Tribolium castaneum: one gene and its partners. The protein of the gene in region 3 purifies or fractionates together with the protein of the main gene of each other region. This does not show direct contact. Links are inferred from orthologs where the notes say so. Each region holds a gene or a part of one and is shown on either strand. Other genes may lie near its edges. The genes, in order: activator of 90 kDa heat shock protein ATPase homolog 1, PpD3 and Hsp83.

What was found.
Region 1: the proteins of Hsp83 (region 3) and activator of 90 kDa heat shock protein ATPase homolog 1 fractionate together in Caenorhabditis elegans (co-fractionation; 3 studies listed by BioGRID, with this or other methods). This does not show direct contact. The link is inferred for Tribolium castaneum from reciprocal best matches to the Caenorhabditis elegans genes hsp-90 and ahsa-1.
Region 2: the proteins of Hsp83 (region 3) and PpD3 fractionate together in Caenorhabditis elegans (co-fractionation; 3 studies listed by BioGRID). This does not show direct contact. The link is inferred for Tribolium castaneum from reciprocal best matches to the Caenorhabditis elegans genes hsp-90 and pph-5.

What each region holds. Positions count from the first base shown.
Region 1 is NC_087397.1:10,675,699-10,679,685, reverse strand, and holds activator of 90 kDa heat shock protein ATPase homolog 1, read left to right. Parts: upstream 1-1,689; 5' UTR 1,690-1,922; intron 1,923-1,978; exon of another isoform or gene 1,979-1,994; 5' UTR 1,995-2,043; coding exon 2,044-2,400; intron 2,401-2,525; coding exon 2,526-3,056; intron 3,057-3,107; coding exon 3,108-3,242; 3' UTR 3,243-3,397; downstream 3,398-3,987. Other genes in the region: uncharacterized protein LOC103315037, read left to right, coding at 3,704-3,755, 3,806-3,987.
Region 2 is NC_087396.1:11,944,213-11,948,877, forward strand, and holds PpD3 (serine/threonine-protein phosphatase 5), read right to left. Parts: upstream 3,269-4,665; 5' UTR 3,168-3,268; coding exon 3,074-3,167; intron 2,908-3,073; coding exon 2,666-2,907; intron 2,617-2,665; coding exon 2,469-2,616; intron 2,422-2,468; coding exon 2,300-2,421; intron 2,253-2,299; coding exon 1,982-2,252; intron 1,932-1,981; coding exon 1,789-1,931; intron 1,455-1,788; coding exon 1,147-1,454; intron 1,102-1,146; coding exon 1,020-1,101; intron 970-1,019; coding exon 910-969; 3' UTR 704-909; downstream 1-703. Other genes in the region: claspin, read right to left, coding at 1-51, 99-509; Gnpat (dihydroxyacetone phosphate acyltransferase), read right to left, coding at 3,406-3,482, 3,532-3,593, 3,641-3,810, 3,858-4,019, 4,199-4,278, 4,359-4,665.
Region 3 is NC_087398.1:3,475,366-3,480,208, forward strand, and holds Hsp83 (heat shock protein 90), read right to left. Parts: upstream 3,148-4,843; 5' UTR 3,040-3,147; intron 2,702-3,039; coding exon 536-2,701; 3' UTR 359-535; downstream 1-358. Other genes in the region: GPI transamidase component PIG-S, read right to left, coding at 1-128, 177-222. UniProt on the Caenorhabditis elegans protein: Molecular chaperone that promotes the maturation, structural maintenance and proper regulation of specific target proteins involved for instance in cell cycle control and signal transduction. Undergoes a functional cycle that is linked to its ATPase activity.

The DNA of each region.
Region 1 (3,987 bases), on a different chromosome or scaffold from region 3:
TTTTGACACACCCGCTATATATATTTTCTTATTATTATTGGTGAGTGTTTTTTGATCAAGAAATTCGACAGAGGCTGCAGTAAAAGTTCATTCATCACTGTTAGGGGTACTTAATAAAAATAGTAATAAAATTTTAATTCTACCCCTTCTAGTTTTTCTCTTTTTAAAAACGTCAGCACAATAATTATTTTATTTTTTTATTAATAGTAAAATAATATACTTTAACGAATAAGTAACCTTTTCTTTTTCACTTATCATTATCAGTCATATAAATGAAATTAGAGTTTCTAACTACAGCTGACGTAGTGACGTCTAAAGCGAACTAGTACCTTTTGTTTCAATAAACTTAAGAAAAAATTCTTGTTTAGATTAATTTTTTAGAAATAATATTTTTGGATGATGATAAGTGATAACTGATAAATAACTAACAAAATTTTGTAAGCGATTTTTTTATTTTTGAAAGGTGTTTTTGTACAGCTCGTGTGACCTGAATTCAGTAGTAGCCACAGTTTCTTTAAGATATTGTTCATAAATAAAAAAATATATTATAATTTTTTTATAGTTATTGTTATTAATAATACAAGTGCGCAACCACAAGCTTAAAGTTTTAGACACCCAAGAACTTTAAGTGTTTTCGCATAAGTGTTATTCAAAATGTTTTTTGTATTAAATTATTTTTTTTTGTTTTAATTTTTTTAATTTTAAATTTAAACGTGTTTTCAATAAAATTTAAATCACGTTGCTGTGGAAAGCGTGTTTTTATATTAAATTTAAAACACGTTGATATGGGAAACAAAATTTAAAATAGTGTTTATAATCTAGATATAAATAATTCAGATATTAAAAAAAAGGTTTAAAATGTTTACAAAACATTTTCGGGAAAAATATTATTTTCAAATATTAGGTGACATATATTTCGAGTGATACCTCATTCGCTGTTCAAAAAAAAAAATACGCCTGGAAGTATTTTTTTTATGGACCAACAGTATTATATTCTCATTCCACAGGGTTTCGCGTGGATGTTATGCTGTTGTAACTAGCATGTGTCTCTAAGGAGAGTTGGTAAAATTCTCAGTAAAGGTGCAAAAACCAAATGGATTTATTTCATTTTTTGAAATAAGTAATAATTACTGCTATGTAGATTTTTTCGAAAACTTGATGTGATTCAGAAAAAGTGGTGGTGGATTTATTATCAACATCACCAATTAGTAAGAAATAACAACAATATTATTGGAAGCACCAAAAGTCATCTCGGCCTGTGTAATTAGTAAAATTCTTTTGACTTATAATAATTAGGTAAATCATAATTTAATTATAACTCAAAAGTAGATGTATTGAGATTTTGTCCCGAACAAGCTTGTGATTTTTTCGTTTGCATTTTTGCTTCTTAATATAAGAATGATAATTAGTTTAGTAGTAACAAAATTTAAGAAGTATAGAAAATTGCTGATGCTGACCATCAGCATTTTTTCCAAAAGAATGATCGTAATTAGTGTTTTTTTGGCGTTATAATTTTTTTTAATTTTTTTATATAAAACACAAATTATTTGTTGTTTTGTTTTTTCGTTTTTTTTAAATATCTTTTAACTTAAAAAAAAATTGAAATTAAGCAATTGTGGAATTAGTATAGACAACACAAAATACACAAGTGTGTAATTCACATTTCTGCCATCTGCTCAAATTTTCTGAAACTAAAATTGACAATTTGCCATTCGCTAAATTCCGATGGTGAAGAAATTCTAGAAAAATCTTCACACTTATAGAAAAGAAGACTTGAAATTGATAGAACATTCGTCAAAGTGCATTACTGGAGGCTTCGTGTGTCTTGTGAATCGAGAGCAGTTCCATTCATTAATTTTTTAATTTACCGAATTGTACTCACTGGGAAAAGGCGCTCATTTTATTATACCTGCAGTTTACAGGTAAATCATTAATTATTTCGCCCAAATTTGCTTATTTTTCTGTGCGGAAACTCTAGTTTGAGTGTATAACAGGCGAGATCACCTTTTTTTCGTCTTTTTCTACACTTAACCTAAAAACACAATGGCCAAATGGGGCGAGGGTGACCCACGATGGATTGTGGAAGAACGACCAGACGCAACAAATGTCAACAACTGGCACTGGACGGAAAAAAATGCCGGTCCTTGGTCAGTGGAACGCATAAAAGAGTTATTTAAAGGTGTGCCAGTAAAAACTGACTTAGCAGACATTCAGTTCACAGAGATAGATAAATGTGAAGGGGAGGCTTCTGCTAATAATAGGAAAGGCAAGCTCATATTTTTTTACGAGTGGGATTTGAGCATTAAGTGGACTGGAAAGTTGAAAAATGGGAGCAAAAGCTACTCAGGCAAGGTGAAAATACCCAACCTTTCCGAGGAAAATGATGTCTCAGAGCTGGATGTAAGTGATATTCTATCTTTTCTTATTTGAAATTGTGTTGGCAACGCTGTACTATCTGGTGATTGATGTTGCCAACTTAATTTCAAAGTCGTAGCTTACTTTGACCTGATACATTTTTTGTGCAGATCAAGGTTTCTGTGAAAGATTCGGACGAGGAGGGCGACAAGCTGAAGGAAATTATGTTGAAATCCTGCAAAGATGTCGTCCGACACCAACTCACCAAATACATTTCGAGTTTAAAAGAAGAATTTTCCAAAGGCATGATTTTGCCGAAAAAAGATGAGGTCAAACCAGACGCGGTCAAAAATCTTTCGAGTGGTTTTAACAAAAAAATCAGCATGACACCAGTCGTCAGCGAAAATAACAAACAAATCGGACTTAAACTAGACGTAACAACGATAAACATAACTCAACAGTTTCAATGTCGGGCGCAAGAATTTTACGATGCTTTGACAAAAATCGAAATGGTGACGGCGTTTACCAGGGCACATGTAAAAATGGATGCTTCTAAAGGCGGTAAATTCGAATTATTCAACGGAAATATTGTTGGGCAGTTTGATGAGTTGGTACCAGGGAAAAAAATCGTGCAACAGTGGAGGTATAAACAGTGGCCTGAGGGCCACTATTCAACTGTAACTTTCAATATTAATGAAAAGGTATTTCGATGATTTCTGGTTTTATTGTTTTTTCTTATTTTATTTTTTTAGAGTGATCACACTGAAGTCAATGTGGTACAATCAGGCGTACCAACAGGTGAAGCAGAAGTTACTAAGGAAAACTGGCAGAGGTACTACTGGGACTCCATGAAGCGGGCGTTTGGTTTTGGAGCATTCATTGTTTAATGTTAATTGTACATTATTAGAACCAATTATTTTTATAGTTACGAACCAGCCACTTTTTACAGCATAGTGTATACTTAATTTATTTGAAAAGCTTCAACATTTTGTTACAACATATTTGTAAAATTACTGTGAGGACGAATAAAATTTGAACACCACTGTTTTATTCAAACGCTGCGCTAATACATTACGCAGGCAGCTATGAACGTTGCCAACGTAAACCGAATCTACACAAAAGTAAATTCTTTCTTGTGAATTATGAGTATTATGACTTGCTAGAAAAAAAGGGGGCGCAATATCATTTCCAACACATCAGCCAAGTGTGTTTTCCTAATTTTATCTATTCTATTAAATAATTCTTGCACCAACCTCTAATTCCAAAAGTTACTGTTGTATTGATTTTGTGATACCACGTGACTCTTCCGCACTGTCACTTGTGAATTAATTTTGGTTTTTGAAAAAAAATGAATTCAAATAAAGTCACAATTAAATTAAAAATCCGCAGATACGAGACTGGTAAGTAGGTAAAAAATTAGTTTGTAAGCGTTCGTTACAAATTAATTTAGGACTCCCTGAAATTACTGAAAAAATAATGGAAGTCAGTCCAGATTTGGAATACAATGCTTTGAAGAAGGAAATTCACGACATTTGTGAGATAGGGCCTGAGGATAACAAAGTAATCAAACTGCGACGTGATGACGAGGTCCTGATCCCTCTCTCATTCTTGTTGGAATCAAGTGATCCTGAC
Region 2 (4,665 bases), on a different chromosome or scaffold from region 3:
GACTCTTTCGTCCTCTGAGCTTTCAGAATCATATAAAGAATAACGCGATTTCTGAAACAATTATTTTAAATAATTAGGCGAACATGTACTAGTACTACTTGGGCGTTCGTGGGACCATTTTCTGGGACCAATTTGCCTTTGCTGTTGGTAGTGTAAATTAGGGCCTCAACTGCGGTTGCTTCATCCGGAAAGCTCTTATTGTGAGGCGTAATTTCTTCTTCTTCTATCACCGATTCATTATGGTCTTTTTCTTCGTCTGAGTCGCTGTTTATTCTTGATATTCTTTTTAATTTCTTTTTAGCAACGTCGGAATTAGCAATGGAAGTTTTTTCCTCGTCATCTGAGGGCTCTGCCAATGCTGGGGGCGCCTTCTCGTTCAAATCATTTTCTTCAGCTTCTGAGTCGCTATCAATAACATTGTGCTTTTTTCGTACTTTGTTCACGTTCAGTGTATTCATTTCGTTTTCATCTTCTGAATGTTCACTTAATTTATCTTCTGTTATTTCCATTTTTTAAAGAGAAACATTAACCTAACTTGACACAACAAACTTTTTCGCGCGCTTAGTTTGACACGCAGCTCGCCAACCCAATAAACAGAAATCACCAAGCTTTCTGAGCGCCAGAATTCAAAACTTGTGTGTAGTGGGAACTTTCTGGTCCGCTACATTAGTGCTGATCGTGGTGATTAAATAAAAGACGTGTAAAAAGTGTAGTAGAATTTTTATTGCTATTGTATAAGTCACAATGAAGGAAACTTGGTAATAAATAAATATTTTATTTACTTTAAGTCTAGAGGTATCTTTTCGATTATGATACAAAATTAAATAACAGAAACAATAAAAACTCATTTTAATACAAAAAAATAAAAGTGATGAAATGCCTACGTTAACTACATTAAAAAGGCAGGTACTAGCACATTAAACTTAGTAAAGAGTGTGCGTACGCCATTGGTTTTACGTTTGGATGGGGCTGGAAGAACAAAAATGTAGGTTTTAAATTAAAAAATGTACAACACATACCACTGCTTCATATGTAGTAAACTTAGGCTCCATATCTTTTCCTTTTAATGTAATAAAAGCACCTTGATTACCCATGGTATCACTAAAAAAATAATTAAGAAAAACATTTTTTCGAAAATTAATTTACCAATAGTTAGGAGCGGAAAACACAGTGATACATTTTCCATCATGAGCGACTTCGTATCCGTTATTTTTCACTTCATGACTTCTAATGATGTAATCCAGTTTATTTAATTCCAAAAACCTCTTCGTAACATCTGGTCCAAATTGACATCCAACTCCTCTTTTACTGGGCGCGCGTCCATTCTGAGTCTGAGGGTCTGACCAAAGCAGCTCACACATGGGGCCGTCTTCGGGGGGCTGTCTGTTGCGGTCAATTTTACTAATTTCACTTAAGGTAACATCGTCAGTCGAAAACAGACCGCCATGCATCACCTATAAATTTTTCTCATAGCAATAGTTGCCAGAAATTTCGTCAAATACAAAGCTCCAAAATCGCAAATTTTACCAAAAATGGTTTGAATTTGCCTTATTGGGGTGTTTAAGCTTGTATTTTATTTAAAAACTAAAGGTTATTTTGAAAAATTTCCCTAAAACCATTTGAGAAAAGTCAGAAGCCAATTATTTTGTAAAATTTCGTTAAAAATGAGGCAATAAGATCACCAAATTATGTCTAAAGTTCGGTTATTTAAGCTTATCCTGAGTTATTTCACGAGATTTTTTAAACCAAACCATCGAAATAGTCCAAGTTTTTTTTAATATCACTTACAAGAACTCTTTTATTCAAACAGTGAGCTAGTGGTAACCAGTTGTAAACCTCAGTGAAAAGTTCAGCCATTTGAGCGGTGTATTTAGCCTTGACCTCGCCATCGAAACCATACATTTGGTTCATTGTAGCGCTTTCGTGATTTCCTGTGTAAAGAAAATAAAATAATAATAGTCCAAAAGGTGCGTAATTATACCTCTGGACATGAAAAAGTGATTCGGATACAACAGTTTAAACCCAAAAAGGGTAAAAATACATTCAACAGAAAATGAACCTCTGTCAACAAAGTCTCCATTGAAGAGGTAGGGATTTGTTTCAGACGGTAAACCGTTCAAGTTAAAAATGTTCATAAGGTCGTAGAATTGACCATGGACATCACCACAAACAGTAAACTTATCCTCATCACCAATCTCAACATCAATCAGTGACGGCTGTTTCATAAAATACGCCTTAACATCCAACAAAATCTAAAATAAAAAATTAACACGTCTTGAATCAAAGGGCGAAGTGTTACTTTGTAGGCGTATTTCCTGTGCAGCTTGCCTTGATTCTTGTACAATTCCATTAAATCCTTCATGAATTTTAAAGTCACTTTTCCATCCTCAAGCTCAGGCCCCGTGTACTCGTTCTCTATTGCTGTGAAAACATTCACAAATGTGTTTTCCCCCCAAATAAAAACTTACTCATTGCATCTAAATTAATAGTACTGGCGATATTCTTTTTGGTATCTTCGACCGAAATGGCCTTCTCGAAGGCCAATTTCTTCACTATTTTGTTACACTCCGTATATTTGGACTTGGCGTCTTTGTCATTAGGTCTCACTTTTGTCACCTAGGGCCAATTTAGGGCTACAATGTGCCACAAAGGGGCCGCAACTTACATATTCGTAGTCCTTCAGGGCCTCCTTAAACTTGCCCAAGCTCATGTGGGCCGCCGCCCGCCTGTAAAACCCCTTAACGTAGCCTTTGTCCAGCTCAATTGCCTTCGAAGCATCGGCTAAAGCGTAGCCGAAGCACTCAGTTTTCAAGTAGGCAAAACTGCGATTCCCGTAATAGATCGCAACATTCGGATTTGCTTCGATTGCTTTAGTGTAAAGTTCTATAGCGGCGTTGTAATTTTGTTCTGAAATTGAGGAAAAAAAGTGGGGTTATGTCAAATTCACGCCGGAATTTGCGAAATTCTCGCAGCGAATTCGAGCGGAATCGCGAAATACGGCTAAATGAATTGAGTATGAGGTTGTTATTTTGCAAATCATGTGGGTTTTGAGTAAATAACGAGGGGAACTTACTTTTAAAGTACTCGTTCGCTTCGGCTTTGTAGCGCTCGCCGGCTTCAACTAGTTCGGGGGTAATAACACAGTTTTCTTTAACTTCTGTGTTCATTTTTATTTAATTTTGTACCTTAGTTTTAGAAATTGGATGAAAAAGTCTTTAAAATCCCTTCATTACTTATCAAGGTAAAAAAATAGAGGATTTGTGTTTGCGCTGGAGTTGCCAACATAAACACGCCCGCCATATTCAAACAACTGCCATTACTCAAAACAATTTATTAAAAATCACACCAAAATACTCAATTTTAACACCTTTGGCTTGGTTTTAACATAAAAACAGTCATTAGCTTTTAAAGCTTATTTTTTAAGTGGAGCTGAACACTTTCGAATTTCTCTTGGAGCACCTGTGCCGGAGTCACATATTGCTCTGAAAATATACACACTTAGGGCAAATACACATAAATGGCCAAACTCACCTAATCTATTTTTAATAAATAATACTTTAGTATCATTAATTTCATAAGTAACACTGCCGCTCCTAGAACAATCAATTAATTTCGAAGAAAAAAACAATAAAACCCGTACTTTCTACTTTTTGTCAAAACATTTTGACCCGCAAGCGCATTCAAACAATTGGTAATTGTGTCCAAACTTAAGGAATAAGGATGGATAAATCCTTTACCTTCATTTATCTTTATTTCAATTTCTTCCTGAACTTTGGCCAAAATTGTTTTCTCTTCAATAACACGTGATAACTGTAATAATAGTTTATAAAAAATGCAGCACAAGTTAAGTAATTTACCTCCAAAATAACCGAACACACCACAAAATAAGTAAAAATAAAACAATCAATACAGTTATAAATAATTTCTTCCAACTGTTTATTTTCACCGAGATCATATAATTCTTGGTTTCTGCTCAATAAATTTAAATCGACCGCATGTGCTAACGCTGAAGTGAATTCCTAAAAGAAATAACTCACTGGTGAAGCTGCAATATTAAAAAATAAAACTACAGTGTAACCTCTCTAAGCCGAACAAAGCCAAGAGTTTTAAAAAATAACAAAAACGAGAAATTCAAATGTAGAAAGACAAAGTTCGGATCGTAGAGGTTCCACTGTATCGAAAAGAAAAACCCACACACCATTTTTTCCCTGGTGTTAAAAGTAACAAACTCCTGGGACAACAGAGACCTCAGAAAGTGATAATTCGCAAAAAGTTCATCTGTACAGAAAGAATGCAATTACCCACATGCTATTTAGTGGAAGATTCTAACTACAATTTTAACTCAACTCAAAAATTACCTTGACTTTGGGCCCTTTGGTGTTTTACGATCAGTACTAAGACGGCCAAGTCCACGAAATAATGCAAAGTCGGGTTAATATAAATTTGTAAGAGCATAAACGGAACCGAAAACGTGATTGTCTTTTCTGAGAGTTCGTGAGCTTTCAATTTGGATACATTGACTTTGCCCACAACGATTTCATCCCAGACCAGAGTGACTTTTCCTTCCTCATTAACTCTGACGAAATTGTTGTGGACTTCTAAAGCCTCTAGCACGCATTTTCTTGGGTCATCCATGAAGACGTAAGCTCCGAACTTTTCAATGAC
Region 3 (4,843 bases):
CATGCGGTCCAGGGGCAGACTCGCCCTGTAGACCCGGGTGGTGTACCACCAGACCGGGATTCCGATCACTACGAGGACGATGAAGTAAGAGAGGACGTTGTAAATGCGATAAATGCATTCCGGATCGTCTAGAAACGCAAAATTGGACTAAAAGTCTCACTTTGGGAGCGTGTTACCTGTAGGGGCCGGCTTTTGGCTCTTGTGTTTTTCGTCCGGTTCCATTTTTAAGGTTAAGATTCACTCAAACATCTGTCAAATGTGTCACGTGACTTGATTTTGCGAAGCCAAGCCCAATTTGTGATGGATTTTTTGCTTTTCAACAATTATTTGTTAAAGGCGTTCAAATAAAACCAAGAAATTAATTAAATCAATTTTATTCACAAAAAACGAACTCAGACTTTTACAGGTGTTAACACGGCGGCGGTAGGCCGCCAAAATAATACTTCATTTTTTATAAAAATAATTAAGAAATATAAAAAAACACTAGGAATGACAATTAGAACATACTAGAACACATGTCCTAACATTCGAACACTTAATCAACTTCCTCCATCCTCGACGCGTCCTCGGACTCGGCGGCATCAGCAGAGGGTGCATCGCCTCCTTGTGCATCTTCGGTGATCATGGCTTCCTCCTCATCAATACCCAGACCCAGCTTGATCATCCTGTAGATCCTGGATGCGTGGACTTGAGGCTCATCCAAGGTGAACCCAGAGCTGAGTAAAGCGGTTTCAAACAAAAGAATAACCAAGTCTTTAACAGCCTTGTCATTCTTATCAGCCTCAGCCTTCTGCCTCAAATTCTCGATGATTGAATGGTCGGGGTTGATTTCGAGGTGTTTCTTGGCCGCCATGTAGCCCATAGTGGAGGTGTCTCTCAAAGCTTGGGCTTTCATGATACGTTCCATGTTGGCGGTCCAGCCATACTGCGACGTAACAATACAGCAGGGAGATTCGACTAGACGGTTCGATACCACGACCTTCTCAACCTTATTATCGAGGATACTCTTCATAACCTTGCAAAGTCCTTCAAATTTGGCTTTGTCTTCTTCGCGCTTCTTCTTCTCTTCTTCGTCTTCAGGCAATTCGAGACCTTCCTTTGTGACCGAAACGAGAGTTTTGCCGTCGAATTCTTTCATTTGTTGTACGACGTATTCATCAATGGGCTCAGTCATGTAAACGACCTCGAAACCGCGCTTCTTGACCCTCTCAACGAACGACGAATTCGCCACTTGCTCCTTGCTTTCGCCAGTAATGTAATAAATGTGTTTCTGGTTAGGCTTGATGCGGCTCACGTAGTCCTTCAAAGAGCAAGCCTCATCGCCACTTGCAGAAGTGTGATAACGGAGCAATTCGGACAATTTGGCCCGGTTTTGCGAGTCTTCATGAATACCCAATTTAATATTCTTCGAGAACTGTTCGTAGAATTTCTTGTAGCCGTCCTTATCCTCGGCCAACTCCTCGAACAACTCTAGGCATTTCTTGACCAAATTCTTACGAATGACCTTCAAGATCTTATTTTGTTGCAACATCTCACGGGAAATGTTCAAAGGCAAGTCTTCCGAATCGACGACACCCTTGATAAAGTTCAAATATTCGGGGATGAGTTCTTCGCAGTTGTCCATAATGAAAACCCTCCTCACGTATAATTTAATATTATTCTTGCGCTTCTTATTTTCGAAAAGATCGAATGGAACGCGACGTGGGACAAAGAGGAGGGCACGGAACTCCAATTGACCCTCAACACTAAAGTGTTTGACGGCCAAATGGTCCTCCCAATCATTAGTCAACGATTTGTAAAACTCTCCGTATTCTTCCTGACTGATATCGTCAGCGTTTCTTGTCCAAATCGGCTTGGTTTTGTTCAATTCTTCATCTTCTGTGTATTTCTCCTTAATAGTCTTCTTCTTTTTCTTATCTTCCTTCTTCGTGTCTTCATCTTCGTCCTCGCCTACATCCTCAATCTTTGGCTTATCTTTATCCTTGTCTTCGCCTTCTTCCTCCTTCTTCTCTTCTTCGGCCTCATCGTCGCTCAACTCCTTCTCGCGTTCCTTCTCCACGACCAATTTGATGGGATAGCCAATGAACTGCGAGTGTTTCTTTACAATTTCTTTAATTTTGTGTTCTTCCAAAAATTCGGTTTGGTCCTCTTTCATGTGAAGGACAATCTTGGTGCCACGGCCCAAAGGCTCGCCACGGTCTTGTGTTACAGTGAAGCTACCACCAGCTGACGACTCCCAAACGTATTGCTCATCATCGTTATTCTTCGAAACGACTGTGACCTTGTCTGCTACCAAGTAAGCCGAGTAGAAACCAACACCGAATTGACCGATCATGCTGATGTCAGCCCCAGCTTGGAGGGCCTCCATGAAGGCTTTGGTGCCGGACTTGGCGATGGTGCCCAAGTTATTGACCAAATCGGCTTTAGTCATCCCGATCCCGGTGTCAATAATGGTCAAGGTCCCGTCATTCTTGTTAGGGATGATCTTGATGTAGAGTTCTTTGCCTGAATCGAGTCTGGAAGGGTTGGTCAAGGACTCGTAACGGATTTTATCCAACGCATCTGACGAATTGGAAATCAACTCCCGAAGGAAAATTTCCTTGTTCGAGTAGAAGGTGTTGATGATCAGACTCATCAACTGGGCGATTTCCGCCTGGAAGGCGAAGGTTTCCACATCTCCATTTTGGTTTTCTTCCGGCATCTGCAATTAAATTCGACCTTGAAATTTCACCGAACTCATGAATCACTAAAAAATGACTAATCGGACACCGAACAACGTGGAAAAGTCCGGAAAATTTGATTAAATTTCGTAGCAATGTCAAAGACCGCTCTGAATAACCTTGGCAGAAAACCACACAAAAAACGGGAAAACTCTAAAACGGTCTTCAAATTCGAAAAAATAGTCAAAGGATTAATAAACTCGTCTCAAATAACCGCAGCCTAGCGAAAAACGTACGATTTCCCAGACTTGGGGGTCAAACACCGGCGTGACATAACCTTGACTGAAAACGGCCGGAAAATCGGAAAATTTGCACCTACCTTGCTTAAATTAATGCACACACGAACAAATCACTTGAAAATTGCTTTGGGAAAATTATCACTTGGAAAATTTGTCGCTTCTTAGCTCTTCACTTAGCGCTTGCTTTTTCAACTCTGAGCGATTCGTGTTTGTTCGGTTGCTTTTATAGCCTTCTGCGTTCTAGATTATTCGAGAAGAATCTAGACGCTTTCCGACGCTTCGAAACCTTCCATAGACAAGGACAGAACATGAGTTGCTTCCGCTAAATCGGGCGCGAAATTCGAAATCTGCAATACCGTTATTGATTTTTCTAGAAAAATCCGTTTTATTTGTGTTATAGTTTATAATTTATTACGTCAGGATTATAGGGTAAATAAACTACGATCTTCTCAACAGGACCTTTTAATTTTACTTTACTCTACAAAAGCCAGTTACAGACTAACTTATTTTCTAAAAATCCAGACATTCGGCATTCATCTTTAACACATGTTTCCCATCTTTCACACTCGCCCTAAAAGCCCTCACACACACTAACCATTCGGACCTCCCAAGCATCCCTTACAATTCTACGAATTCATATCAACTCGGCCTTTCCTGACAATGTTCTCGTCCTCGAGAACACATCCCAACCATCTAATCACTCATTCCCCTAATGACACTTACCATAACTTAAAATAACGAAACTAAACACTCTACTTATGTCCCCAAATTTTTCTAATAATAAAATTCCGATAAAAATTTAACATTACCCTTAACACTTGTACAACCTACTTTATCTTAATTATTACTCCTCTAAATTACTAACTAATTTTAATCTGTCTACAGAAATAATTCCTTTATAGAAGCGACTACTTTGTTGTTCGCCTTCTATATCTTGCACTAAATATCTATCATTCCCTATAAATTTAACAATCTCATAGGGTCCTCGATACTTAGGGCTCAATTTACGACTTTGGCCGGTCGACGGTACCTCAGCCCGTACCAACACCAAATCCCCTTGCTTGAAAACCCTAGCCTGACGCCGCGATTTATTAAAATTCGCGCACATACGATCCGCATTTCTTTTCAGCCGATCCGCAACTAAATTTTGCTCTTCTTCCGTATTTAAGCGTGTATTTAAATCGCGTATTTCGGCTGCTAACGGATTATTAGTGAACCCGTCTCGCGTGTATGTCCGGACCAAACTAAAAGGCGTTCTTTTAGTGACCGAATGGGTTGCATTATTAATAGCCCATTGTACTTCGCTTAATTTTTCGTCCCAATCACTACCTTCTATGTCATCCGTACTTGTACTTAAGCATGTTATTATCACGTCGTTTACTTTCTCCACTTGTCCATTCGATCTAGGACTTGCTGTTGCAATTTTTACGTGTTGGATTTCACAATCACCGCAAAATTTTTCGAACAACTTCGAAATGAACGCTGTACCTCTGTCGCTAATTATTTTATTGGGCTTTCCATAATTAGAAACGAATTCTTTCAAAAAACTAAGAGTTCCCTCGGCTCCTACATCCGGCAGCGCTTTTAATACTGTGTACTTACTAAAGCCGTCTATAATAGCGCATACGTATTTGTTTCCTGTTTTACTTGACGGAAAAGGGCCCAAATGGTCGATATGCACCACCTGAAACGGAGTACTGCCTTTGTCTAACGGGTGCAGCATTCCCGGTTGCCTCCCGCGCGGTGTCTTACTATACAAACAGTTAATGCATCGATTGATATATTTTCCTACCTCTTCCCGCATTTTTGGAAAATAGTAGCTCTCTTTTATTTTGTCCAACGTTTTATCTATTCCCAAATGCATAAGTTCTCTATGAGCGTTAC